Linked DNA regions of Oryzias latipes. The protein of the gene in region 1 purifies or fractionates together with the protein of each later gene. This does not show direct contact. Links are inferred from orthologs where the notes say so. Each region holds a gene or a part of one and is shown in the gene's direction. Other genes may lie near its edges. The genes, in order: dvl2, dact1, csnk1d, nedd4l, vangl2, E3 ubiquitin-protein ligase Itchy and vangl1.

Region 1 (3,500 bases):
CAGTGAACTCTCCGGGCTTCCAGGACTTTACAGGGTTTCCATTATACTCACTGGATTAAAACCCTGTGACTTGTGTGACAGGGGGATTGGGGGTGGGGTGGGGGGGTGGTCCAGATAACATCTGTTTAATTGAGATCATCTGCATCTGAATCACAAGCAGTATTCAGAAGTCTGTCCAAGTTTTTCTTTTTCTTTCTTTTTTTTTTACTTCTGCTCTACTTTTTGTTGTTTTATTTAAAAGCTTTAATAATGTTTTAATAATAATCCATTTTATTTAGAAGCGCCTTTCAAGAAACCCAACCTGTATAAAACAAAGGTTAAAATAATCATTAAAAGCACAATAAATAGAAATAGTCAAAAAATCTAAAGTGAATCAAGATGAGAAGGCAGAAATAAACAGATGAGTTTTGATTAGAAAGTTTGTAAAGAGTCTATGTTACGGAGGTCGGGAGGTCAGGAGGGAGCTGAGCAGCTGAAGGCTCAGGTTCCCATGGTAACAAGTCGAGCCGGAGGAACAGAGAGCTGGACAGAGGAGGAGAACCGAAAAGAACGAGAGGGCGTTTTGATCTGCAGTAGGTCGGAAAGATGAGGGGGGGCCAGTTTTGGCTGCAGACTTTAGACTTCCACGGGCGTATTTACTTTATCACTGTCAGATCTATTAACACCTGTGGATTACTGTTGGGATATCTGAAAGCCAAATGGTGACAAAAAACAGATGAAATGACACGTTTGTGTAGTAAAAACCCCAAAAATTCAATTTAAAGTCTTAACAAAAAGTTATTCGGAAAGATTGATGCAGGTCGTTTACAATTTAAAAACACAAAGTTAATTACATTATAGAATAATAATGTAGAGAACATTACTATAAAGCTGGTTTATGGTTTAGTCACAACTGCCCTTACTGTTTGATCTGTCCCGCATTAGTCAGAGGAGGGGAAAAACTTTAAATTAAGAATAAAATAAAAATAAGAAACAAATTTACTGTCCCATACAAATGAGAAAAATAAACTTCATGAGTAGAATTGTCAAATTCTCCATGCTGGTTTTGGACCCACTGATCAAATCAATAACGCGTCACGGGCCACAGCTGAGTCTCTGATTGGTTGATGGACACAAATTCTTTACCAATGTTTAGATTTTGAAACATGGCGACACTCGAAACACGCTGCTGCTGCTGCTGGTAGATTGCTGCTTTGCGCCTGATGCTCAAAATGTGTGTCAGACGTCTGTTGGCTTCTGTTCAGTGACTTAACATTCAAACTGGACACACTAGTTGGGTTTGCGCCCCCCTTAAGATGCGCTCTGGTCTAAGGCCCTTCACGAGCCCAGACCCCCGCAGCACCCGCACACGCCAACCCCCATACGGGTGCATGGCTACGGTTCTAGATGTCTCCTGGAACCTGGTAAGGGTTATTTCAGACAGGCTCTGTCATCAGATTAGTCTTTCTGTTCAGAACGTGTTTGTTCCTCTTCCAGCAGTCACTTCTGCAACTATCCATCTCATTGAAGCATCTCGACCAGAAAGAAGATGTTTGGCATGAATGAACGTAATGAAAGGGAACTTTTTTTTCCCTTTTCTCTCCGTGTCTTCAGGCTCTGACGTAGTGGAGTGGCTCTTCCACCACATTGAAGGATTTCAGGACCGCCGGGAAGCCCGGAAGTACGCCAGCAACCTCCTGAAGGCCGGCTTCATTCGCCACACCGTCAACAAGATCACCTTCTCGGAGCAGTGCTACTACGTGTTCGGAGACCTGAGCGACTGCGAGAACTGTGAGTCGCCGGAGAACTCGACACATCAAAGGAACAACCTGCTTTCTTGTGGACTCCACACGGTTAAATTAAATAGATTTTGGAGGGGTTTCTTTAATGACGAGTAGAAAAGCATCGTCACGATGAAGCCCTTTTAAAAATGACGCGACACACAGAATGAACCCTATTGCAGACGAAGCATAAGTGGTTTACAGTTCCTGTCTTCCACAGACATGGCTAATCTGTCCCTGAACGACAACGACGGCTCCAGCGGCGCCTCCGACCAGGACACCCTGGCCCCCCTGCCCCTCCCGGGCGCCACTCCGTGGCCCATGATGCACACCTTTCCCTACCAGGCCTACCCCACCCACCCCTACTCCAGCCAGCCTCCTCCGTACCACGAACTCACCAGCTACAGCTACGCCCCCGGCAGCACCGGCAGCCAGCACAGCGAGGGTGAGCGCAGACTCGCCATATTTTCTCACAGCGCTCAAATACCTGCTGATTCAGTATTTGAAAGAGTTATTTTGGAAAGCCACATCCAACTCATTCTCGACGCATGTCAAGGTGCTCGGTTGACAATCCATCCGCTTAAAGCCACTGACTCAAGCTGGAAAAGGTAACAAATAAACGTATTTTGAAAGCCTTAGACTTCAAAATAAAAGCTGCATTTAACAGACAAAAACCTGGAGTCTTTTGCTCAAAATAAAAGTTACGGGAAACTAAAAATAGAAAAATCAGACCCCCATTTTGCCTGACGTGGAACCGATCTGTGACCTGAAAAAGTTCAGAGACCGCCAGGTTAAAACTTGCGGTTTATTGTAAGGAGCAGGTCTGTTGAGCAAATTTACACCAGAACTGTTTGCTTCGTTCCGCAAAAGCTCTTCTGAACTCTGCAAAACAGAGTTCGGGTCGGCAGGCAAGTGTAACCCGGGGCAGTTCACTACAGTGTGAACACGAATGAGACTCCAGACGGGAAGCAAAAAGAAGAGGTGACGTGAGCGCTGTGGCAACTGTGGGGAAAAATGACCGGTAAGTGAGGTAAAAGGAAAAAAAAGTAGGAACAAAAGAAGTGCTAATATTCAACATTTCTTTCCTCCCTCTTTAGGGAGGAGGGAGAAAATAGGTAACATAAAGAAAATTATGATAACTGGGCGGGGTCAAGGTTGGCCACACAGCCGTTTATTTGGTGACACATAAAAATCAAAGGGAACTAAAGGAAAATAACCAAAAAAACACCAAAGGGGGGATAAATAATGGTATAAATAAAATTCTCAGGCTTTATAGCAAGACACCAAAGACAGAAATACAAAACTCCAAATGACTCATAATGCAAACAAAAGGCCACAGTAGTAAATGTAACAGAAGGACAAAACCAGATTCAAACTAAGAGGGAAACTAGAGGCTTTCAAAGGCAAAGGCCAGGCAGACAGCAGGGGCAAGCTGAAGAACGAATTCCCACCCAGGAATGCAGCCGCCACTGGAGCAAAGGATCCTGGGAGCTTTTAAAGCTTCCCTCCAAGCCAGGCGATTGGTAGCAGCCTCAATCAGCTCTGCAGAGGGGGCGGAGTCAGCAGCTGTGCAGGAGCAGACTTCTACAGGAGCAAGAGCACATACACACACAAACAAGCAGACAACTACCAGGGATCCTAGCACCGAGTCTAAATGCACCTTTAGAGCGTTAAATAAACCCAAACTTCATATCTTAGACTACATACAGGCATGTCATGCGCATTCAAGATGGCGCTGAA
Region 2 (4,030 bases), on another chromosome or scaffold:
CTTTTATTTTGTACGTGGAATACTGGGTCAGATTTTGGCTTCTGGTTTACCTGAAGCCTGATCCAGCTCACCTTTTTTTCCCCATCTGAGCTGTTGTTATCACCGCCTCATTAAATGCAGAAATGAATAAAATGTTTATTTTCTTGAAACTGCTTTAGTTGTTCTTGTAGCAAACATCTATCCGATTTTTAAAAATAATTCAAGGAGAACTCAGGTTTTACAGGTAAACAAAACGGAGTCTGGGATCAAACAGAACCTGGAGGGCTTTAGGACCCCAGAAAAGAGGTGTCATGCTAAAAAAGTAAAAACTACTCTTCCTTTCACAATAAAGGTTAGAATAAAGAATTTTAGATTTTCCAAGTTTGCAGATTATGTGACAGATGATTTTCTAAAAGTTATGTAAATTCTGATAAAACCAAAACAGAAACAGTTTTAGAAAAGTTGGAACTTCCCACAGAAATTCTGGACATTTTTGGCCCAGTTTTATAAAGAAATCTAGAACATAAATGTTTGGTCAAAATGTTTGCTTTTTCAGAACAAATCCTGCTGCTGCTGTGGTGCAGAGGTGTAGCGGTTGACCTCTATTGCATAATGGAGGCTTCTGTTCCTGATCTTTGTCACAGAGTTCCTAAGAACGACACTGAATCCCTCCTCGCTCTCAGCGGCCTGGCGAGTGGTTTGCCTTCCGCCATCATACAGCCATCAGTGAATAAATGTGTGGCTTTCGTAAACCGCTCTGTACCTGGAAGAAGGTGAAAAGTGCAGTGCAAGTACAAACCACTGAACCAAAAATGAAGAGGAAGTCTATAGAACAGCTTGGAACATTATAAAAACGTTGGCTTGAAATATAAACAGTTGATTTTACTACCACAAACAAGTGTAGTTGTGCTGAAAAATAAACACAATTTCTGTCACTTTGAAGGTCCAGATATGAAAAGTGAAAATATTATTTCACACAAATGATGAATACTACTAAATGTATCATCAAAATGTTTTGTATTTGTTGCTATTTGAATTTAATCTAATTACAATCAATATTTCTCAATATTTTACAACTGTTTTCATCAATATTTAACAAAAGTTTGGAAATCTGAGACTTGATCTGAAATATTGTGATGTGAAATTTAATCCTAAATTTTTTTCTATATTTTGAGATTACATATGTATTAAAATTAGAATCAAATTACTGTCACTAATAATACGTTAGGATTACCTTTATCTGTTATTTTAATGGAAATGAGAGGAAGTTCAATGAATGACCTTTAAATCTTACTTCTCATGCTCCTTTTCTTTGTTATGTCGTTGGAATTTTGTGTTTTTAGTGGATTTAGTTTAGGTTGTTTTATTTTGAAGGAGTCAATAGGAAGAATCTATTTCGAGCTGACGTCACTCATGGCGGTGTGCTTGGCTCGATGAAGGGGCGTGGTCTCGAGGGGCGGGGTTTTGTTGCGCTGCAGCGGCTCTGGCTCAGTGTTCTGGGAGCTCCAGAGGCAGCAGCGGGTTTTGGGGAGACTCTGCTGGATCTCCGAACCGCTGGCCCGAACAGGTCCGGATCCTCACATCCATGTGGACCCGAATCCCGCCGCTGGACCGCTGAACCACCCTTTTTCATTGCAACTCCGGGGTGTCTGGATCTCTGTGCCCGCCGCCCACGCTTCGTTCCCGCAGGTGCGGGTCAGCGGGTGCTTTTGCGTGATGCCTGCCGGGTCATTCGGAACCTGATGCCGCAGAGAGCCCCCGTCGCCGCAGAGGAGATGCCGCTCAGCAGCGCCTGCAGGCGGGACAGTCACAGGGCGGACGCGGCGGAGCGGCTGCGCTCCGTGCGGGAGCGGCTGGACGCGGTGGTGTTTGGGCTCAGCGAGCTGGAGAGCATGCGGCAGCGGCAGCAGGTGCTCATCCGAACCGCTCTGGAGAAGCCCGGGGATCGGGAGGCCCAGCTGAGTCCCGAGGAGAACATCCTGGTGCTCAGGAGGCAGCTGGTAGGTCCTGACCCCCCCCCCCCCCCCCCCCCCCCCAACTATCCATGTCGAGGAATGCGTGAAACCAGAGCAAAGTCTGATGAAGTCTGATGATTTCCTCTTATCAGGTGTAGATTTCTGATTCTGGTTCTGCAGATTTAGCCTTTCAGTCTTTCCGTCGGCTGCAGATCTCTTCAGAAATGATTTTGGCCCACAAGGGCAAGACGTGATGGATGAGTTCAGGTTTCTACAGATCTTTATTCTGCTGTCATGAAGGTCCTACCAAGTGAAAATCAGATGTTGCATCATCTGATCTTCTGCTGTGGCTCCAGAGTTCCAAATCTTGTTCAGTTTATTTGGTTTTCTTCTTTTTTTAATCCCTGCTGAAGGACTTCTAGATGCTCGATGATCAGACCTAAAGATAATCGTGCAGTCTTGGATTCTTCTGTGTCTCAGAACATCAGGTGGCAACAGGAACGTTTCATGAGAAAAAGAGCTCCAGCTGGTGTGATGCTGAGCTCAGATTCCTGTCAGGATCCATCCCGGTGTTCCACCAGCAAAAACCTTAAACCGAAGTCCTGCAGCCTCAGATGGAAACTGCTAAACACAAACAAGAGTCACAAGCAGATTTAACTGAATCTGCATGACTGTGCGGTCTCAAGGGTCCAATGCTGCTCCTCTGCAGAACCCAACCAGAACCACTCTTGGAGAACCCAGCAGAAATTTCAGGATGGAGCTTAGAAAGTGACAGAAAAGGGGCTTTAGGCTCTTCATTCTGCTGCTTTCTGAAGATGAGGATGATGTCTCAGTAAGAGACCAGAAAACCACTTACGGTAAGTGGGCGGGGCCTGACAGAGTGTGGTCAGCTGACCTCCACAGAACAGATTTCAAAACTGATCAAAGATTATAGCTTCAGGTTGTTTACAGGAGCGGGACACACAAACAAACATAAACCTGTAGACAAACACATATACACAAACTAAAACACACAAACAAACACACATGTTCAAGCAAACATGAAAAGATGAACAAGTATAAACAGGTGAACACAACAGAAACAAACAAATAACAACCAAACAGATATAAACACAGAAGTAAACACAAACAGAAGTAAACATACAAAGAGACAGACGTATGTAAACACAGACAAAAATAAAAGTTGTAAACACCCAAACAGTCGTAACGCACACAAAAATATAACCACAAACAAACAGATGTTACCACAAATGCACATTAACACACAAACAGACGCAAACACACAGAATCAGACAGACATAAACCCAAACAAACAGTTATAACCACAAACAAAAAGATGTTAACACAAACAAACCCTTACACACAAACAGTCATAAATACACTCTGAAGTAAAAACACGCAAACAAACAGGCGTAAACACACACAAACAGATGTAAACAGACACAAACAGTTGTAAACAAACACAAACAAACAGATGTAACCACACAAAAACACACAGTCGTAAACAGATATAAACGCACATACAGACTACAGCTGAGCTCGGCTGTTCTGGTCACATGATCAGCATCAGTGGCCAGTTTCAGCTCTGGAATGTGGCGCCGCATAACCCACATGTTTTCCATCCTGCGAGAGCAACAGATTGTGTGTGTGTGTGTGGGTGTGTGTGTGTGTGTGTGTGTGCGTTTGTGTGTCCCTATGCTTGTTACCTTATAAGGACCTTCAGCTGCGGAGATGAATAAAGTTCATCCCATGTTGGAGTCATTTCTGTTCGTGGGTCTGCGTGAAAATGTGCTTTCAGTATAAACGCACTTTTGATGTTTTCACAACTGAAACAACAAACTGGAAAAACTCCCTCAAGAGAAGACGAGATAAGTTACAGAACAGTATTCTTCTGTTTCATGTCTAATCTTCGTCATTCAAAAGTTTGCCTCTTTGTTCTTGGAGTGAGGAACATGAGCAGATGGACTGCAGCTGGAAAGAGCGTCTAGTTCTCTTTGACGCTTAAAAACCACAATTGTGTTTAATTTTTTAAAATCAAAAACATCACAAAACTTTGTTGAAAATGTTGTAAAACATTTGCCATTTTTGTCCCTTAG
Region 3 (3,500 bases), on another chromosome or scaffold:
GGCAAGAAGGGAAACCTGGTCTACATCATCGACTTCGGTCTGGCTAAGAAGTACCGTGACGCGCGCACACACCAGCACATCCCCTACCGCGAGAACAAGAACCTGACCGGCACCGCCCGCTACGCCTCCATCAACACACATCTGGGAATCGGTAAGAGCAGTTCAGGCGGAGGCGGGGCCAGTCGTTCTTCTGCAGCCGGCAGACTCTGATGTTCCACCTCCTGTTTTCCAGAACAGTCCAGGCGTGACGACCTGGAGTCGCTGGGATACGTCCTCATGTACTTCAACCTGGGTTCCCTCCCCTGGCAAGGCCTGAAAGCTGCAACCAAGAGGCAAAAGTATGAGCGCATCAGTGAGAAGAAGATGTCCACGCCCATTGAGGTCCTCTGCAAAGGCTACCCATGTAGGTCAAAGACAGCGGCGGCGTTTGAACCTCCTCTCCGTCTAGTCTGCCCTGTTCTCACCTCTGTTTTCCTCCCTCTGAAGCCGAGTTTGCCACCTACCTGAACTTCTGCCGCTCTCTGCGCTTTGACGATAAACCAGACTACTCGTACCTGCGGCAGCTCTTCAGGAACCTCTTCCACCGTCAAGGCTTCTCCTACGACTACGTCTTTGACTGGAACATGCTCAAGTTTGTAAGTCAGAGTGCTCTTCAACCCACACCACTCATTCAGGAGGTTTCCAAACATGTTTGGGTTTTAAACCTAGACTTGTTTTAATTTAAAGGTTTCAAAACATTAAGACAGACAGAAATGTAAGACACACACGTCCTCCGGAGCATCTGCTCCCATGGCGTCCTGGGATGTTGTTCGGCTCCTCTGAGCTCGTTTCGTGCCGTCGTTGACGCAAAGATGGATGACTGTCTCGTTAGGGAGCCAACAGAGCCGTGGAGGACGCCGAGAGGGAGCGGCGGGAGCGCGAGGACAGGCTGAGGCACGGCAGGAACCCCGCAGCCAGAGGGATGCCGTCCGGCTCCGGAAGAGCCAGGGCCCCCCAGGACGCTGCGGCCCCCTCCCCTCTCAACCCCGCCTCTCACACAGGTCAGAGCGCTTCGGAAGTCTGGTTTTCAGGCTCCGTGGGGTCAAAGGCCGGGCCGCTGCAGGTCTTCTAATGTTCTGTTTCCTTTTGTCAGTTATGGACATTAAAAAACAAAAAGTCAACTGAAAGCAGCAGCAGAAAAAGTCGGTGGATAAAGACTTTAATATTAAAACGGGTGTTTTTGATGACTTTCATAAAAAGCAGCTGCCCTCCATCTTCCTGTTTGTCATAGAACTGCTGTTTGCCTTCATCTGTAACCGACTGAAAGTTACAGTTACAATGTGAGGAAGAAGAGCGTCGCGTCCAGTGAAGGAAGCAGAAGCTGCTGCTGCTGCTGCTGCTGCTGCTGCTGCTGCTTTAGGGGACGGATGCTTTCATGTGCAGCTCACCAGGAATGTGTGCTGCTGCTCCTTTAGGCATGGAGAAGGAGAGGAAGGTGAGCATGCGTCTTCATCGTGGAGCCCCCGTCAACATCTCCTCCTCAGACCTGACGGGGCGCCAGGACACGTCCCGCATGTCCACCTCGCAGGTGAGGAGTCTGTCAAACCTTTCTGCTGACACCAGCAGACCTTCCCAGCAGAGCTCTGACCCTCACACCTGCGTCTGTCTCCCAGGCTCTGTCCCGGGTCACGCCCAGCGGGCTCCAGTCTGCAGCCCCTCGGTGAAACCCCCCCCTGCGTCCACCTGTCCACCACGGAGGCCTCAACTCGCACCGCCTGCAGCACGCACACTCGCTCACACTCCTCCGCACGGACTGCCAGAAGCCTCACGTGACGCCGAGGACCGCCAACCAGAGCACAAGAGCCCGGCTGTGCTTCTGTTCACTCGTGGAAGGAGACGCACAGTCGGGATGTTGTGTTTGTGTGTGTGTGTGTGTGGGAGACAAAGGGATGGGCAGGTGGAGCGGTTTGGTTGCCTTAACTACCATCTTGGCAAAGTAGCAGCCACAAAAACTCTTCTTCCTGTCTTGTGGAAGATGTGGAAATGCCTCCTCCTCCTCCCTTCTGGTGATGAAGCCATGGATTCATCCTCCTTTATGGTTTAACTTGTACTTTCTCTTCTCCTGAAGCGGCTGCTCGGCCTGGTAGCAGCCCGTGAAGGGAGCGTTAGCTGTGCCGCACGGCCGAGTGTCTTTGCTCCCTTCAGGTGGGACGGGCATGGAGAGAGCCTGTGCTGACCTCACATGCCCACAAAGTGACTTTGTCTTAATTTCTGAGTTGTGCCGCCGCTGTGGGACGCGACGGCTGCGGTCCGAGCGCCGGTTGTGACGCCACGTGGCGTTCAGGTCAGAAAACTGTGAATATGGCAGAGCGGCTGGTGTTTTTAGAGCCGTGTGTGTTTGTGTGTATTTATGTGCTTCTGTCTCAGAGTCTCACACTCTGGAAGGGGTGAGGGATCAGGGTGAGCAGGTTTTTTTTATTTAACCTTTGACCTTTTTTTGTACCTTCACCTGGGCCTGTATGGCGTCTCCGTCTGCTTCCTTTGGCGTCAGACAGGACCGGTTGGACTTTCCACACGGGTTGTTGCAGCCGTTGGTCTTGTGTGACGGGACTTTTCCAGATTCCTAACTTTATTTTTGAGAATCTGTCGCTGCTGCTCGTGTGAACAGCTCCGCCTCCAAATCGCTGTTAATGCGGTCAGTTTGTGTCGGATCCCGCTTAGATTTTTACTGAACCCAAGACTGTTATCCACCTTCACCTCAGTCACTACGGTTCTTTCTCTGGAGTCCCGACCCGAGGTCCTGGCGTCCGGATCAGGGGATGGCTTCGTGCTGCATTCAGGAACATCTCTGTGGAGGCGGCCCTGAATGTGACCCCAAAGGAAGCAGTTCTGAGCCTTCCCAGCTGTTGACCGATTGTAGACGCAGACGCCTCCTGGGCCGGATCTCCTGATCGGACCGGAACCCGCGGGGCTTTAAAGTAGAGATGTCTTTGTGTGATGAAGTGGTTGGTTTGTGTAGCTGAGGGGGTTGTAGTTGTGTTGTGGTGTGTAGGATGCATCGCCTGCTCTGTTCCACGTCCTCGGCAGCCGCTGCAGGAGCCTGACGTGTAGAGGGGGCGGGGGCGCCTCATTCCAGTAGACGCCATGCTGAGGCCGTGTCTGTAGTTTTCCTGAATAGATTTCACCTTGAAAACAACAATGTGATGATAGACGTGTGTGTCTCACTGATGTTGGATGTGAGAACACCGTTGCTCTGTCACCTCCCCCTGGAGGACGCTCCGGCCTGCGGAGGGAACGCCGTGGATCCACGGGAATCTCTTTTCACTCCCATCCCAGGACTCTGGCTCCTCATTTGTAATGCCACTGTATCTGTGCTTTTTTAATTGTGTAAATAAATTAATAAGTACTTGTACGTTTGCATTCTGTGGATTCATTCTGGTCTCCAAACACCTGCGGCGCTGTGAGAGCGTGGCGTCCTCCCTATGAAACTCCACAGAAACGGTGTTACCGTGGTAACCTCC
Region 4 (3,997 bases), on another chromosome or scaffold:
GGCATGCTAATACACTGGTGATTTGCATTGTGGTTTGGCGCTGGATGGGAATTCAGGGCAAGGTTTAGAGCCGAATAATCTCTGGCAGCTATGGGAGAAAAACAATGTGGCCATTATTCCATTAGCCACTTAGGTAGTTGAAAGTGTGTTGGAAGAAATGACTTTTTCTAACTGATCCATCTTTCCTCAAAGGAGTATCCTTTTCGTTGAATCAAAGCTGCTGTCATGAAAAGTCCATTTTGGCCTCTCTGTGCCATTTCTGTGATGTATTTTTAGCAACAGTCTACACAGGTTGTTTTTTTTGTGTGTGTACAAGCTGCAATTAATTACAGGAAACATTTTACCGTCCTAATTTAAAGTTGCATCTTTAATGTTATCTCTAAATTGTATTGTATTCGCAAGAACCTGCTTACCTTCTTTTATAACAAGTTATCCTAGTAAACGTAAAATATGGATCGTTTGTTTGTGGCTGTATTTTTTCTTTTCTTTTTCCTATTCTTTCCCTCATTGAGGTGATATACTAAAAGATCAAGGTATACGAGTGTCTGTTGTAAATAAATTGGGTCAGTGTCTGTAATTTACACCGCCTAAAATACTTTTTTAAAGTTGGCTCTAGTGGCAGTGTTGTATTAAAGAAGAGGTTTAATGCGACCCTAAAAAAGAACATTATTAGGAGTTGTTGTGAAAGGAAAGAGTTGTGTGATGACTAATCATGAAACCAGAGAAGCGCACACATGCGTATGCTGGGTGCAGCTTGAGGGGGGGTGTATTTGGCACTTGAGGGCAATATGAGGTTTCCAGAAGAGGTGGTGGGGGCCAGTTACAGTCACGTGACCCACAGACACCCCACTGTCACCTCAGTAACCAGGAGCCCAGGCGGCCCTTATCCAATCATGTCAGGAATGCTGGCTGTTACTTGACTAAGGCTATTTCTGCTGTCTGTCGCTAGTGCTTGGTAGTGCTACCAAGGAAAGAGGGATCCCCTTTCTATATAATTTTTTTAAAGTTTTACTTGCTCTTCCTTTCTGGTTTTCCTCTTCCTCCTCTTTTTACTTTTATTCAAATGCTGTCAGTTGTTTTGGAGTGACTGCCATGTTTCTGTTGAGCAATTGGTTTTCTGCGAACAGTTTACTGAGTGGGAAAGTTGTGGAAGAGTCTCTGAGAAGTTGGGAGGGGGAGGGCGAGGTGGGTGGAAGAAAAAGGGGATCAGTTATCCAGTCAGTGAGAGAAGAAGTGGGCGACACGAGGAGAGAGGAGAACCTAAAACCAGTCGGAGAAAGTGTGGGGGTTTTGGAGCTGGAGGACGGAGAGTAAAATGGCCCAACGTCTGCGTTTGTACTTTGGATCTGGCCGCAGCAATACAGCACCAGAGATACTGGAGGGAGACTCGGAGGAACAGCAGGAAGACAGTGAGGAGGTTGCAGTAGTCTTCACTCCCACACCTTTTCTGTCAAGGCCACCTCAAGTGTTAGCTGGGGAGAATGTCCATTCAGCTAGTTCTGCTTTACAGTCTGAGCCTTTGCTGAAACGCAGCTCTTCGATGTTCATACCCCATCTTGCTGCTTTTGCCGAACCACGTGCAACTAAGAGCTCATCAATGCATATATCACTTCATCGCTCAAGTGAATCAAGTAACGGAGAGCCTACCGGAGTTGATGATGTCCCACCACCCTCTTATACTCCTCCAGGACCTGCGCCTGCATACACTGAACTAAGGACTCGAGCTGACCTTCCACAACAGCCACCGCCTCCATACTACAGCCCAGATTCCTTAAACATACAGTCTTGTCTGATGGAGCCAAACCTTCCCAAACGCAGAGTGTTTTGTCTTGGTTCCAGGGGCCATGCTGCTTTCAACAGATTCCAACCTGGTAATAGTGTTGGGACTATTTGTATTAAGAAAAAATCTCTTAACGGTTCTGATGTCCAGCATTTTAGGATTCTTCCAAACGGTGGTGCGGGTTGGTCTGTCCAACAGGAGAGCCTGGATCACTGCTTTGATGTTAATGGGACAACACAAAGACTAGTATTTCAGCTCCAGCAAGACCAGAAAAATACCTACCAGGGACGACAAGAGTCAACTTCCCATCAGGAAGAATGCTCAGACTTTGGGCAAAGCAGTACTAGAGGATTACAAACAGTGCGTTATCCAAGAATTAGATTCCACCGGAGTTCATCCCAACAAAGTCTTTTGCTGGAGGATAAACACTTGGAAAGCGGAACAGAATATCCGACTATAGAGGAGAATCCAACTTATGTTGAGGCAGAAACTAAAAACGGGTCGAATGGTTGTGTTTTTAAAATTGAAGAGGAAGCCCCCAGAAGGCAACCACATTTCAAGATATACTTTTCCCAGAGTGGAGGTGGAGATAAGGAAGTTAATATTGGCAAAGAATCAACAAATAATCCCAAGGTAATGAAATAATTTGCTATTGAGTTGGACCATGGCTTGTTTCTGGTATTTTTACTGCAACAGGCTGTTTAATTCACATAAAAAAGCCTTACTTTTGCATAAATAAATGCCGACCTTTTTTTAATGGTGGAAAAATGGACGATTTTTATCTGGTGTTTCAGTGAGCACTGTTTGAAGATGTTTATTTACCTTAGTGAGAGACCAGGAAATGTTGTTACAATGCAGAACGAGGGTGGTAACTTGCTGGGAACCGTATAGAAAGCACAGAGTTGTTTCTAAACGGAATTAGACACTTGCTCTTTCTTCACAACCACAGGCATTTGAAGTTGTGCACACGAGCCAAATCAGCTATGAAAGAAAAGGAGTAACAGGCATCTGGATAAATGTACAATTCATTTGTTACATTCTGTTTTATAGACATTTGAAATGTAGATTTTTGATCATAATCGTGATTTTAAGAAATGCTTTTTATCAAGTTAATTCCTTCATCTTTAAATCATTTCAGTCATGGGTGTTTATTTTAGTGAAATGTCTTTTCTCTGGTTGTAGACTGGAACGGATCTGTATTCTAGCAGCAGCTGCACTGCCAGTGATTAAGATCTAAAATATCATTACATTTCAAGTACGGATGAAGAAATGCAATCATCAATACCTCATTTTGCTAAAAGTCCAAAGGATCTAAAAATATTTGTTGGTGTATTTTTAGCTCCCTCTCTCTTTCCCTATCACTGTTTTAAACTCTTTTATTTAGCTTTATTTTAAACTGTACTTGAGCTGTTCCCCATCGTACCATTCCCAATACCAAAAAACAAAACAAAACAAAAAAAACAGTGTCTTCTGGACCACAGAACCTGTTGCCAGCCTTCGAACAGTCGACAAAAGTTTCACGACTGTAGTGTCAAAACAAAAGCTTTAATCACTTAAACATTTTCCCAATAGAAAGAATAAAGATTACACAACCACCTGCTTCATCTGTTTTAGTCATTTTAGTGTTAAGTCATAGTCATTGGTTTAATGCCCCAAGAGTACCATTAGGTAGTGACACAGAAAGAAGGTAAACACGTTTAAAGAACCATATTTTATTGTTTAAAATATAATTATTAGGCTATAGCTAGGAATCTATACTGTTTTTTTTAAAGAAAGGCTGATGTTAATATTGTCTTTTCCACCCCTAATCTCCCATAAGAGGGACTTGAGATAAATTCGCTCATAGTGTAACTTGTAATCTATAGATTTTTATTTATACCATACTTTTTGCCAAGCTCTCAGAATTTGAACCATGTTTTTGATATACCATACTGTATAACCCACAGCACATGAATGCCAAACCATATACATAAAAAATAATATCTCTTATGGGAACTAGTGCACAGACTCAGTTTTATTAAAAGGGGATCATTAAACTCCAAGTCTGCTTATAAAAATTCCCATTGGGGATCTTTATGATTAAGATTTAACTTCAAACATCGTTTCTGTGCAATTCTGAGTCATGGGTTATAAGTTTAGACCACATCATTTATAAAATTGGATGTAATTCAGACATGTTTCTGCATCTTTTTGTAGTTATTTTAAAATTTTATTAAA
Region 5 (3,500 bases), on another chromosome or scaffold:
AGAGCAGGGACAGCAGCAGTCGTGGAGACAAATCGGTCACCATCCAAACTCCGGGAGAGCCGCTTCTGGATGCAGAGTCCACCCGTGGAGATGACCGGGTCAGCGGCTCTGACGTTTCCCTCTGAAGGGCCCATGTCATGCTTTTCTCAAGCCTTTCAGAGTCAACTACATGAGCAGATATTACCTTTGGCACACTAAAGAAAATATCCAACAGCATCCCAACTTTTGCAGAGATGGATGTGCATATTGTGCAGATAAAGTTAAAGCATTTAGCCCATCACCGCTAGCTCCACACAGAAAGTGGGCGTGTGTGTTAGTCTGGGGGCGGAGCTGGTAGCACAGACTCTTCCTGGAAGGGGCTGTTCCTCCCTTTGTGATGTCACACTGTGAGAGCCCACTCGTTTTGGTGGATTGGGAGGGGCTGGTGTTCAGAGAGCAGGTTTTTAGAGGAATGCTCACACATGCGTGAATGGATCAAAATACCACTTTGGGTTGTTTTCTGTGAGGAATGAACATAATAATACACTTAAAAGCTCAAAAAGTTGACTTTGCATCATAAAGACCCTTTAAACAGAATTATTCCCAACATTAACCACTGGTTAGGCTTTTGTACTAGTTGCTGTTAATGCAGAGACGTCAGTCCAGGTAAGCAGAGAGTTCCCCGTCTCTAGTCCACGGTGAAGGAATGGGGACCTCCCAGCTGTTTTAACAGAGGAGGTGTCGTGGATTGATTCCCACTGACCCAGCAGATGTTGCCTTTTCTCTCTCTAAGTGGGCCCTCGCCCTCTCTCAACAGCTCAGTTGTGTTTCATCGGAGCAGTTGGTGGTTTTGTTTGAATCCTGTCAGCGGGCAAAGAGCAGGTGTTGACATTTGTGTTCTCCTCAAAGACTTGAGAGCCTTCAGCTTAACACCAGAGAGCGGCTGTCTTTGAGGAGGCAGAGGAGACACGCTAAAGCAAAGAGGGGCTCTTTGAGTAAATAGTGAAGGGCTGTCGGTGTCCGCGGTAAGCCAAGCTGTCACCATTACTGGCATGACACTAAAGAGCATTATTCCTTCTAAAGGTTTCGAGACGATTAAGGACATTTGTGACTGAAAGTGGGGATTAGACTGTTTCAAAATGCTTTAAAAAGGATCTCTATAGAAACACTCCTGGGTTTTCTTGATAGAAAAAGGATTTATTGCAGATTTGATTCAGCGTGCTTAAATTCCAAACCCGCGTGCTTACTGGAAGGCCTGTTTTCACAGACAAAAATGGAGTAAAATTTCCCTTTTTGAAGGATTTGAACACGTTTGACATGTTTTTTTGTCCTTTGCTATTCATCTTCAGGACGATAACTGGGGGGAGACGACCACTGTGGTCACAGGCACCTCTGAACACAGCATCTCAAATGAGGACCTGACCCGCGCCACCAAAGATTTGGAAGACTCCACCCCTCTGCAGTGCAAGCGTTTTATTGGCCCGGTGCTGGGAGGCTGCCTGAGCTTCTTCGCTCTGATCACGCCTCTAGCCTTCCTCATCCTCCCTCAGGTCCTGTGGCGCGACGACCTTGAGGTCTGCGGGACGCCCTGCGAAGGCCTCTACGTCTCGCTCGCCTTCAAGCTCCTTGTTCTCCTCATCTCCTCATGGGCGTTGTTCCTCCGTCCTCCCCGCGCCACCCTGCCTCGGTTTTTCGTCTTCCGCTGCTTGCTCATGGTGCTGGTGTTCCTGTTCGTGGCGTCCTACTGGTTGTTCTATGGCGTGCGAGTGCTGGAGCCCAGGGAGAGGGACTACAGGGGCATCGTGGAGTACGCCGCCTCCCTTGTGGACGCCCTCCTCTTCATCCAGTACCTGGCTTTGGTGTTATTGGAAGTCCGACACCTGCAGCCAGCCTTCTGTCTTAAGGTGGTCCGGACCGCAGATGGAGCCAGCAAATTCTACAATGTGGGCCACCTCAGGTTTGTTGTGGACTCACGGTTCCCACTTCCTGGAAGTTTACAGCTGAATCATTGCCGCTCTGTGTTGAAATCACTAGTTTTACTCTCAGTAGCACATTTGCAGTTGTTGTATTTTCCAAACTATAAGTCGCACCCGCCCAAAAAAGGCAAAAAAGAAAAGAAAAAAATCATATACGAGTCTCACTTTTGAGAGAGAAGTAAACAACCCCACAGAGCTCGGTGTGACTCTGTGTTCACACCGAGCTCATCAAATTTGCTGCTCGACGCTTGTCCAAAAGCGTGTTTCTTGACCCTTGTGTTATCTTGTGGGGTCCTCATGAGCCCACTCCCAACGTTAATTTGGAGACACGTTAACGTTGGGAGTGGGCTCATCAGGACCCCACAAGATAGCACAAGAGTTAAACGAGACACCTGGCCGCATGTGGGAGGAGCTACCATCATCTCTACATGGAAGCATGGACTGTATATTTCATGCATGGAAGACCTGAATGATGTTGAGAGATCAGGTTGATTTAAACAAACATCTGTAATCCCGTCTGGGTTCATGAGATCATTCAGAGACTCTCCCGGTTCATCTTCATCGTCTTCTGCAGGAGCTGCGTCAGAAATACGGTGTAGGTACCAAAAGTATTCCACCTGCAATAACGGTTCGTGGTCCTGCCACCAATGATGACGTCACTACGGTAACACTGCTTGGACAAACTACATAGTTACGTAGGGTCTAGATCTGCTAGGGCTCTATATAAATTCTTTCCCTCATAACTAAAAATGCTATTTTGAATTTTAAGGTGTGTCTGACATAATTGTTTGTTACACCAGATCTATAATAGAGAGACACATTGGCAATATAAACTTATTTTTCCAACGTGAGTAAATGACTGTATGAGAAACAATATTTATTTATGGTGTACTGTCTGGTTTAATTGGCCTAAAAGTTTACATTTCTTTCTTTTTTAAACACATTGAAAGCATTAATATACTAATTACAAAAAAAACAGCACAAACACCATATTTTTATGTTAAATTTTATGTATTATTCAAGTTATTGAAACAAACAACCAACCAAAAAACAAAGCATTAGCACTAAAACAAATGCTAAATGTCTTGAATCCAGTTTTCTGCTGGTCTCCACAGCTGGCCACAGAAGATACGCTGAAAGTCCCTTGTGATACATGGGGGGAGATCTTCATGGACAAGTCATCCATGTTTCTCACGGATAACGGTGTTGGCGTGTAAACTTGCGGACCAATCATTAAACGTCATCTGACCAACGTATAGCCAATCACATAATGTGACATCATCATCAATCGCAGGACCACGAACAGTTATTGCAGGCCGGATACTTTTGGTACCAACAACGGCTGCTGTCAGCGCTACTTCTGCTTCCCTGTGACCCAGTTTGACAATTTGCTGTCCCACATTGGTCCCAGGAGGGGCAAAAATATAAATAATAATGTCTCAAAGCAAGAAAAGAAGTGTTTCATGAAGTTCAGGAGGACAATGATTAGATTTCCCTCCGTTTTGACTTTGGAATCCACCTGCTGATCAGACTTCTTCTGTGTTG
Region 6 (4,224 bases), on another chromosome or scaffold:
CAGCTTTTATTTAATATATATTGGTAACAAAAAACGTTGTCAATTTAGCCTGAAGAAGTATTCAGTCATACTTCCTACACCATACGTACATTGTCTATAGTATACCTGCTATACTTATACTCAATTATGATTAATTAATAAAATAAACTTCAAGTGCACTACTTTTTGCCAAGAGTACCTTTTGAAAAACATATTATTATAAAAAATGAACAAACAATACATATGTTCATGTGGAAAAGTATAAATACACACATAAATGTGGTCATACATAAATGCTTAGATTTAAACATACCAGAGATTCATGTATGTAAGGAAATGTATGTAAACTAATATAAATGAAGAACAAGAATTTTTTTAATATGTCTAAGTAATCTATGTAAACATTTGAATTTTCGTATTTGTAATATTTCAATAATGCTTGAATGTAAATAAGGGAGATGGGTTTTTTTAAGCTTTATTGAACATAACATTAAATTACAAAACACAACATCAAGGAATCAAACAGATCATCAGCAGCAACAATAAATGCCATCATTCCAAACTTACTCATCCACATCAAGTAGTAATTGTAGCAGAAATGTATCAAAAATAGAATTTGCTGATAAGAAATAAAGTATCATAAAATATATAAAAGAGAATTAAAAAAAATAATGTTTACAATACAAAGTTTTCTTAGAGGCAGGGATTACATATCAAACAAAAGAAAACACAAATTGTTCCAGTGTAACTTTCTTTGGATGTGTTAATTTTTTTAATGTATTCATAAAACTGAAGCATCTCTATCTTAAATAGTATAAATTAGGAGTTTTCTTTTTTTTATTCTGCACTTATGTATGTAAGATTTAGATTGGAGAAGTAACAAATACATACTATTTTCTACTTTTTTATCATCAGAATTGAAATATGTGAGCATTTGTTTGAAGTTTATAATAATGTTACAATTAAATTTGATGTTTACAAAGCGTTTCCAAAATTCACGGGAAAATTTACAAAAGCAGAAAAGGTGAAGAACTGATTCGGGGAAATCAATACAAAAACGACAATTATTTTCTATATTTGAAAATTTGTGGTGTAAATGTTATGTAGAATGTTTTTCATGTATTTCTTTAATTTTGTTATTTATACAAAATAGGATCCACGCAATTCTTTCCAATTTATATCATTTAAAATAAGGGAGATGTTTTGTTTTTTTTAAACTTTATTGTTCAAAACAAATACAACAAATATGTGTGACAAGATCAATAGTCATAACAACGTGAATGCCAGGGGATGGTACATGTATTACAAAAGAAACATTACAGAAACAGATTCCTATGAATTGATTGGAAGGGAGATGGGTTTAGGCACGATTACGCGTTTCATCTACGTCACTCCTCTGGTCCAATCACCGCGCAGAGGGGGGAAGAGCGCACCCTATGCACCCCGCCTTGTTTCGGTCACGTGACAGGAGCTTACGAAGATGGTGGAAGTTTCTACTTCCTAAAAGTGAAGGCTGACTGAAACGACAACGACGAAAGCCGCGAGGATTTACCACCTGATCGCCGCGCGTTACACCATCTTCTGGATTAAGGTGAGACGATAAATTTCACCTGATAAATCAGAGGACTTTTCTCTCCGTCTGTGACTGCCTGACTTTGGGGTCTCCAGCCTGCTAGCCCGCGTCAGGCTAACAGGTTAGCAGCTAGTAGCCGTCTCTGTGGGATGGCATCAGGTTGTTTGTGTCCAGCTGACATTCAACACGTTCATAACAACTGCAGCTTCAATGCAAATGTAGCCGCTCCATGTTCAGCATCTATACACTTTGTTTGTTTCCTTCTCGTTTTGGTGAAGGAATTCGGCTATGTTAGCGTTAGCTTAAACAGTACACTTTCAGCTGGAGCAAATTATGTGTGTAAGGTTTGTTTAGCCACACTGGGTGGGACATGTTAGTGAAAGAAATTAGTTTTTGTTTTGTTTTTTCCGCGTAGCAACAACATTTAAAAACCTATTAGTATCCTACGCTGAGGATCGATAGACCATTTTACCTTTAGACACTCGGAATAACCACCTAGGAAGGTGAATCAGCAGTAAAAGAAAAAATGCTGTTGGATCGAGGCCCGATCTGACTGCGCCTGTCAGGCGTCCTTATTGACATTATGGGACATGTCTTCTGCTCAGGAGTGTCGTGAATCTCCTCTGGCAGGATAGATTGGTCCTCTTAGGATCAGTGGAGCCTCTGGAGAAGGCCTGATCGCGAGCAGCAGTTATCAGCAACCCGGCGAGGCGTGTTCCTCTGTGTCTTTATTGCAGGTTTAGCTGGACACTTATTAACTCATTGCGTGACCAAAGTGTCTGAGCTGTTAGTGCTTCATATTTATACCCCTTGTTGACAGGCCCAGACCCCCCCCCCCCCCCCCCCCATTTCTCTTTATAATGAATTGAGTCGTCTGATAGTTGTCTTTAAAAAGGACTATATTTTGAGTAAGCACATAGATTAACGCCCTGATTCCTATAGTGTGTAATTATACCTGTTTTGCTGATACAGTGTTAGTCATGGGGCGGTAGTATGTCTGTGACGTGAACGGTTAACAAGTTTAGTATTTCTAAGGGATTTCTTTTTTTTTCGACATAAAAAGCAGATTTTGTTTTAAAATAAAAATAGATGTAACACGTAAGGAATCCACAGCGAGACAAATGTTAATTATCAGACTGTGAGGGATTAAAGATAGTTAAAAATGGAAAAGCAAATCAAGTTGGAATTTAATTTTAATATCTGGAAAACACCTTCATTGACAGAACGGTCAGTCTTCTTGCTATGCAACAAAGTCGGTGGTTGCATTAAATTATTGACAAAGATCAAAGTGAAAGTTTACCCATCAGCCCCTTACTTTCTCCCATGTTGCCCTGAGTCACTGGGCCGGACAGACTGAGGACCATCTATTATTCAGAGATGTTTGGAGGAAACTGGCCATGCTGAAACACAGATCGTGTGTTTTATTTACCTGCGTAAGGCCGTCATTGTTGATTTAGTCTTGCTCATATGTTTGTTGGGCAAACATTTTTCTAAAAGAACATTCCCGTCTGTGAGATTCAAGCATAAATATTGCTTTACAGCGGCTCTTAAAGTGTAATAAAAAACACCATCTGGGTCCAATAAGCACATTTTTAATGTTCATCACAATCTGAAATCCTCTGGATATTTTCCATACTAGACAGATGTCCTCAAAAAAAACAAAATAAATAAAATAATGCAAATCAAATTCTTAATTTGATATTTGATCACCAAATTGAAAGTTAATTATACTTTGGACATTTTCCTGCCTCTATTTTATAGTTAAAGATGCTGATTTTTGGTTCAAGAAAGTCACATTTAGCTTCTTTTTTTGTTATCTCCTCAAAGGTTCATTCAGTCCTGTGGATTTTATTCCTGATATTATGGATCTGAACTTCCCGTTACTCTGGCTTAGTTTCTGTTTTGAATGCAAATGTCAGCGTGTGTTCATATTTCATATGTCGTAGCAAATTTAGAAACTGTTGGTTAAAAGTTTTTTTTTGTTTTTTTTAAAGGACTTGACTCAAAGTTTACAACTGTGGTGCAAATACTGAGTGTGAGCAGTGTAAACTCAAGCCTGCACTCACATTTATCCTTCCAGGATATATTCTAAAAAGATTCCAGTGGAAGCCATGAGAAGAAATAATTCTTTGCTAAATGACAGGATTATGCTTTTTAGAAAGAATCAGGAGTATATTAGTTTGCCAGTCTAAGACTTTTGTATGTAAAGACATGTTCATCGTCCTTGCAGGAAGCGTTCTAATAGTATTTCTTTTGGTGCTGCAGGGCCTCTTCTCATCCTTATGTCATGGCCAGTGGGCTCGCCAAGTCAGGCACTTCCAATGGTTTCCCTCTCAAGTCACAGCTGCAAATTAATGGTAGGTTTTCACTTTTGCCAGGAGTGCACACACACACAGAGGAACGTGTAATTATTTTCTTTTTCCTTGGATTTTTGTCACACTTTGAAACTAAAAGGTGTAAATGATGTAACAAAGGAACTTTCTGGAATTTTAGCTTTCAGGTTTAGGTTTTATTTCGCAGCTGTAGGTTCGCAGCTATGCTACAATAATGCATATTTATTGCATTCCTAGCATGTTAGGAAGCTCTAGCTTATGCTAAGAAAAAAAACACAGTTCTCTGTTTGAACCAACATAGGAGAGTTTTGTCTGGAGAATTTTTTTTTATGCAGGAAG
Region 7 (3,500 bases), on another chromosome or scaffold:
ATAATTCAGAAACAAAGAAGTCTGCGTTTGAATTTCGAACTAATAAACACTCTTCTGGATACAATTGTACCTTTTTTGGGGGGGTAAAACCTAACTTGATTGTGCTCCATGTGTCCTCCCATTGTTCTGCTTCAGCTCTGTGGTTTAAACCTGGAGGCTACCGAGAGATTTTCTGTTCCAGTGCATCCTCCTCCTCCTCCTCCGCCTCCGCCTCCCAAACCCCCTGTCTGTACTGTTCATAATGCATCCTCTTGATAAACCCCTGCTGCCAGTGTGCGGTTCTTCTCACTGATGTGATTCCTAAATACGGCTTCATTTCAGCTGGATAGCTCTTGGCTGATAGAAGAAAAGATCTTTGATTGCATTTTCTTGCAGCTGATGACTGTTGGTCATGTGGCCTTTTATGGCCGGCTTTGTTATCACATTACAAGCTTGTTATGACTGTCATGTAAAGAGTCTTTATCTGTGTTTTTGTAACGGTGCCGCTCCGTCACTGCTGACATTCATTATCGACGGATGCAGGAACGCTCTCTCTGACCTTTTCCTCTCCTCGCCATTTTCCGTGGGGGGAAAGTAAACTCTGCGATTTGCTTTTTGTGCGTCTTTAATATTCTGGCTGCTGAAGCATTGTTAAAGGAGGAACCCATTGTTGCAACTTATTGTGGTTTCTGCACTACCCTATGTCATTTGATAGTTCTTAAGGCCCGTTCACACCGGTACGAATTTCGCCGGCGATTTTCGCCCACGTTTAACGCCTCGTGACTAAACAAAGGGCACCAATGAGAGTGTGCACACCGACGCGAAAAAACGCCACGCGTCAAAGCGTCAAAAAAAACGCCTCGGGTTCGTTTTTTTTTTTTGACGCCTCGCGTCGAAATCTATTCGACCAATGAGAATGGCGCTTTTGCACACGTGTCTGGAGCTTCTGAAGTTACAGTAAAACACAACTTGGGGGCGCTCAAACACAAAACTGCCTTGCTGAACACGCATACCAGCGAAGAAGATAGACGCCAAGTAGCGTCTACACAGCCGCGAAGAAATAATGACGGACATTCTAAAATATCCCCGAACCAAGCACCAGTTGGAGCTACTGGTGCTTGAAATATTCATGTTTTCTTTGTATTATTCGGACAAGCGCGTAAATACTTGCTCTCTTCTTCTGAGTGAAAAGCGACTTTAAGAAGCGTAAAGTTGCGCAGCGCCACCTTGTGTACAGGAGTATTTCTGTTTACATTAAGCGCCATCTAATGTCAGGGAATGAAATTGCATGTTCACTCGGCTCATCGACAGCGAAAATTGCCTGGGTGTGAACACAAAAAAACGTGGCGAAAAAACGCTGGCGAATAACGCCTGGCGAATATTCGTCCCGGTGTGTACGGGCCTTGAGTCATGTGACGTGTGCGATGATCATGAAGGCAAAACAGCAATCCAAGATGGCGGCTGACACCCAAAAGCCAGTCAGTTTTCAGATATTTTCTTCACTTAACCAAAAATATGCAAACCATGAAAATATACTTTTGAGTTGTTGACCTATTTTCAACACCCCTACAACTCTTAAAAATGGACAAGCGATGAACTTTAATGAACATGTGATGGAGAGTTGATCACCTTTCTTGTCTTGACAACCATAATTCTTTAAGTGTTCAGGATGGGTCAACCCAACTAAGGTAATTCCAGAGGGTTTTGAAGGGGACAAAAGCAGCTTTACACTGATAAGCAACCCTTTACAGTAGTGAAGTGTTTAGGCAATCAACGTCAGTCGGTGGTCGCCAAGAAAAGCAGCCGGATGCCATTATTGGTGCAAAGCCAATATGAACAGCCACTATTCTCCACGTAGGAATCAGCTGACTCCCATTGATCGCGTTAAGCGGGTTACTGTTTGGTATTTAGGTGTCTCCAGCGACATCTCCTGTGTTACAAGGTTAAAAAGGCCTGTTTGCTCCATCCTGTGTGGTTCATCTTACCTACTGTGGTGGTTAACCTTGCCTGAATGTGGTACTCAAAGCTGGGACTTCCAACTTATTGTTATTCATGGTAACTGGATCTCTTTGGTCTGCGGCTTCAGTAGTGATTGGTTAAAAGAAATCGCACACTGGAGCTCCAGAAAGTATATAATATTGTTGTGCGTTTCTCGATGTCAAAGCCAGTTATTCTACACAAAGGTTGCAAGCAAGTTGCTTAAGTTAAATGCATGCCTATCACGCTTTCCGTTTTTGTAAACAAAATTCACTTTACTTCAAGAAAAGACACATTGATAACTTATCAGAATTAAAAGGTCCTTTATTTTTGCATCATATGTCCTCCTTGTATTTCCAGGATGATAACTGGGGTGAGACCACCACGGCCATCACAGGTACGTCCGAGCACAGCCTGTCCCAGGAGGACATCGTCCGCATCACCAAGGACCTGGAAGACAGCGTGGGGCTCAACTGTCGTCGCTACCTCACCCGGATTTTGGCCGTGATCCTGGGCGTCCTGGTGCTCCTCACACCGCTGGCCTTCCTGGTGCTGCCCCACCTCCTCTGGCCAGACAAGCTGCAGAATTGCGGGACGGCCTGCGAGGGCCTCTACATCTCCATAGCCTTCAAGCTCCTCATCCTCCTGCTGGCCGTCTGGGGACTCTTCTTCAGGCCGCCGCGAGCAAGCCTCCCACGGGTCTTTGCGTTTCGGGCCCTCCTCTCTGTTCTGGTGCTGCTCTTTGTCATCTCCTATTGGCTCTTCTACGCAGTCCGGATACTTGAAGCGCAGGTGTGTGGAGACAATAACCACAATCTTGACTGAATAACCCAAAAAAAGCTAATTAGGCGGGATAGCACTCATTATATGCACACAGATTTATTTCTCCTGCCTTCGGGAGCCTCGCTAAATCACAAAACACAACCCAAACACCTAATTTAAACTCTGGTGGCTTCAGCATGCTTGAAGAAAACACAAACACGAGGTCCAAAGGCTTTTTCTCTGAAACGTTTCTAAATATTTATGTTCCTAGGGTATCCAGCATTTCAGGGTCTATTTTCTTTTCTTCTGAAAACGTTGATTTTGTGCTTTGCTGCATGCGTCATATTGTCCCATTTGCAGGATGCAGACTACCAGGGCATCGTTCAGTACGCCGTCTCGCTTGTGGACGCCCTGCTCTTCATCCACTACCTGGCCATCGTGCTGCTGGAGCTCCGCCAGCTTCAGCCATGCTTCTCCGTATGCGTCACGCGCTCCACAGACGGCGAGACGAGGCACTACAACCTGGGACAGCTCAGGTGAGAATCCCCGGCGACGAGACCCTTTCAGTTCTGACTCCTTGCGTGTGCTTCCCAGAGTGCTTTGTGGTTGGGGTCAGTTGTAAATTCTCTAGGATAAACGGGCTCCTCAGGTTATTCCAGGAGGAGTTTTTGAACCTCTAATGCCACTCCAGTGCTCTAGAAGTTTGCCGTCATGAAAAGAAAAGACGTGAGGAAGTATTTTCTGATGCTAATCTTCCTCAGCAGACGTGACTTTTGTGCATA

What was found.
Region 2: the proteins of dvl2 (region 1) and dact1 purify together in Homo sapiens (affinity purification with western blotting; 3 studies listed by BioGRID and IntAct, with this or other methods). This does not show direct contact. The link is inferred for Oryzias latipes from reciprocal best matches to the Homo sapiens genes DVL2 and DACT1.
Region 3: the proteins of dvl2 (region 1) and csnk1d purify together in Homo sapiens (affinity purification with mass spectrometry; 3 studies listed by BioGRID and IntAct, with this or other methods). This does not show direct contact. The link is inferred for Oryzias latipes from reciprocal best matches to the Homo sapiens genes DVL2 and CSNK1D.
Region 4: the proteins of dvl2 (region 1) and nedd4l purify together in Homo sapiens (affinity purification with mass spectrometry; 4 studies listed by BioGRID and IntAct, with this or other methods). This does not show direct contact. The link is inferred for Oryzias latipes from reciprocal best matches to the Homo sapiens genes DVL2 and NEDD4L.
Region 5: the proteins of dvl2 (region 1) and vangl2 purify together in Homo sapiens (affinity purification with mass spectrometry; 4 studies listed by BioGRID and IntAct, with this or other methods). This does not show direct contact. The link is inferred for Oryzias latipes from reciprocal best matches to the Homo sapiens genes DVL2 and VANGL2.
Region 6: the proteins of dvl2 (region 1) and E3 ubiquitin-protein ligase Itchy purify together in Homo sapiens (affinity purification with western blotting; 4 studies listed by BioGRID and IntAct, with this or other methods). This does not show direct contact. The link is inferred for Oryzias latipes from reciprocal best matches to the Homo sapiens genes DVL2 and ITCH.
Region 7: the proteins of dvl2 (region 1) and vangl1 purify together in Homo sapiens (affinity purification with mass spectrometry; 4 studies listed by BioGRID and IntAct, with this or other methods). This does not show direct contact. The link is inferred for Oryzias latipes from reciprocal best matches to the Homo sapiens genes DVL2 and VANGL1.

The regions. Positions count from the first base shown.
Region 1 is NC_019876.2:14,950,398-14,953,897, forward strand, and holds part of dvl2 (segment polarity protein dishevelled homolog DVL-2), read left to right. Parts: intron 1-1,593; coding exon 1,594-1,770; intron 1,771-1,980; coding exon 1,981-2,205; intron 2,206-3,500.
Region 2 is NC_019880.2:2,437,629-2,441,658, reverse strand, and holds the start of dact1 (dapper homolog 1), read left to right. Parts: upstream 1-1,230; 5' UTR 1,231-1,412; coding exon 1,413-1,979; intron 1,980-4,030.
Region 3 is NC_019866.2:24,949,525-24,953,024, reverse strand, and holds the end of csnk1d (casein kinase I), read left to right. Parts: coding exon 1-151; intron 152-232; coding exon 233-403; intron 404-486; coding exon 487-635; intron 636-871; coding exon 872-1,040; intron 1,041-1,454; coding exon 1,455-1,567; intron 1,568-1,652; coding exon 1,653-1,703; 3' UTR 1,704-3,391; downstream 3,392-3,500. UniProt on the Homo sapiens protein: Essential serine/threonine-protein kinase that regulates diverse cellular growth and survival processes including Wnt signaling, DNA repair and circadian rhythms. It can phosphorylate a large number of proteins.
Region 4 is NC_019870.2:9,923,245-9,927,241, forward strand, and holds the start of nedd4l (E3 ubiquitin-protein ligase NEDD4-like), read left to right. Parts: upstream 1-1,197; 5' UTR 1,198-1,315; coding exon 1,316-2,413; intron 2,414-3,997. UniProt on the Homo sapiens protein: E3 ubiquitin-protein ligase that mediates the polyubiquitination of lysine and cysteine residues on target proteins and is thereby implicated in the regulation of various signaling pathways including autophagy, innate immunity or DNA repair.
Region 5 is NC_019875.2:3,190,949-3,194,448, reverse strand, and holds part of vangl2 (vang-like protein 2), read left to right. Parts: coding exon 1-98; intron 99-1,328; coding exon 1,329-1,936; intron 1,937-3,500. UniProt on the Homo sapiens protein: Involved in the control of early morphogenesis and patterning of both axial midline structures and the development of neural plate. Plays a role in the regulation of planar cell polarity, particularly in the orientation of stereociliary bundles in the cochlea.
Region 6 is NC_019865.2:2,030,875-2,035,098, reverse strand, and holds the start of E3 ubiquitin-protein ligase Itchy, read left to right. Parts: upstream 1-1,424; 5' UTR 1,425-1,570; intron 1,571-3,817; 5' UTR 3,818-3,839; coding exon 3,840-3,909; intron 3,910-4,224. UniProt on the Homo sapiens protein: Acts as an Acts as an E3 ubiquitin-protein ligase which accepts ubiquitin from an E2 ubiquitin-conjugating enzyme in the form of a thioester and then directly transfers the ubiquitin to targeted substrates.
Region 7 is NC_019860.2:16,731,598-16,735,097, reverse strand, and holds part of vangl1 (vang-like protein 1), read left to right. Parts: intron 1-2,316; coding exon 2,317-2,748; intron 2,749-3,078; coding exon 3,079-3,254; intron 3,255-3,500.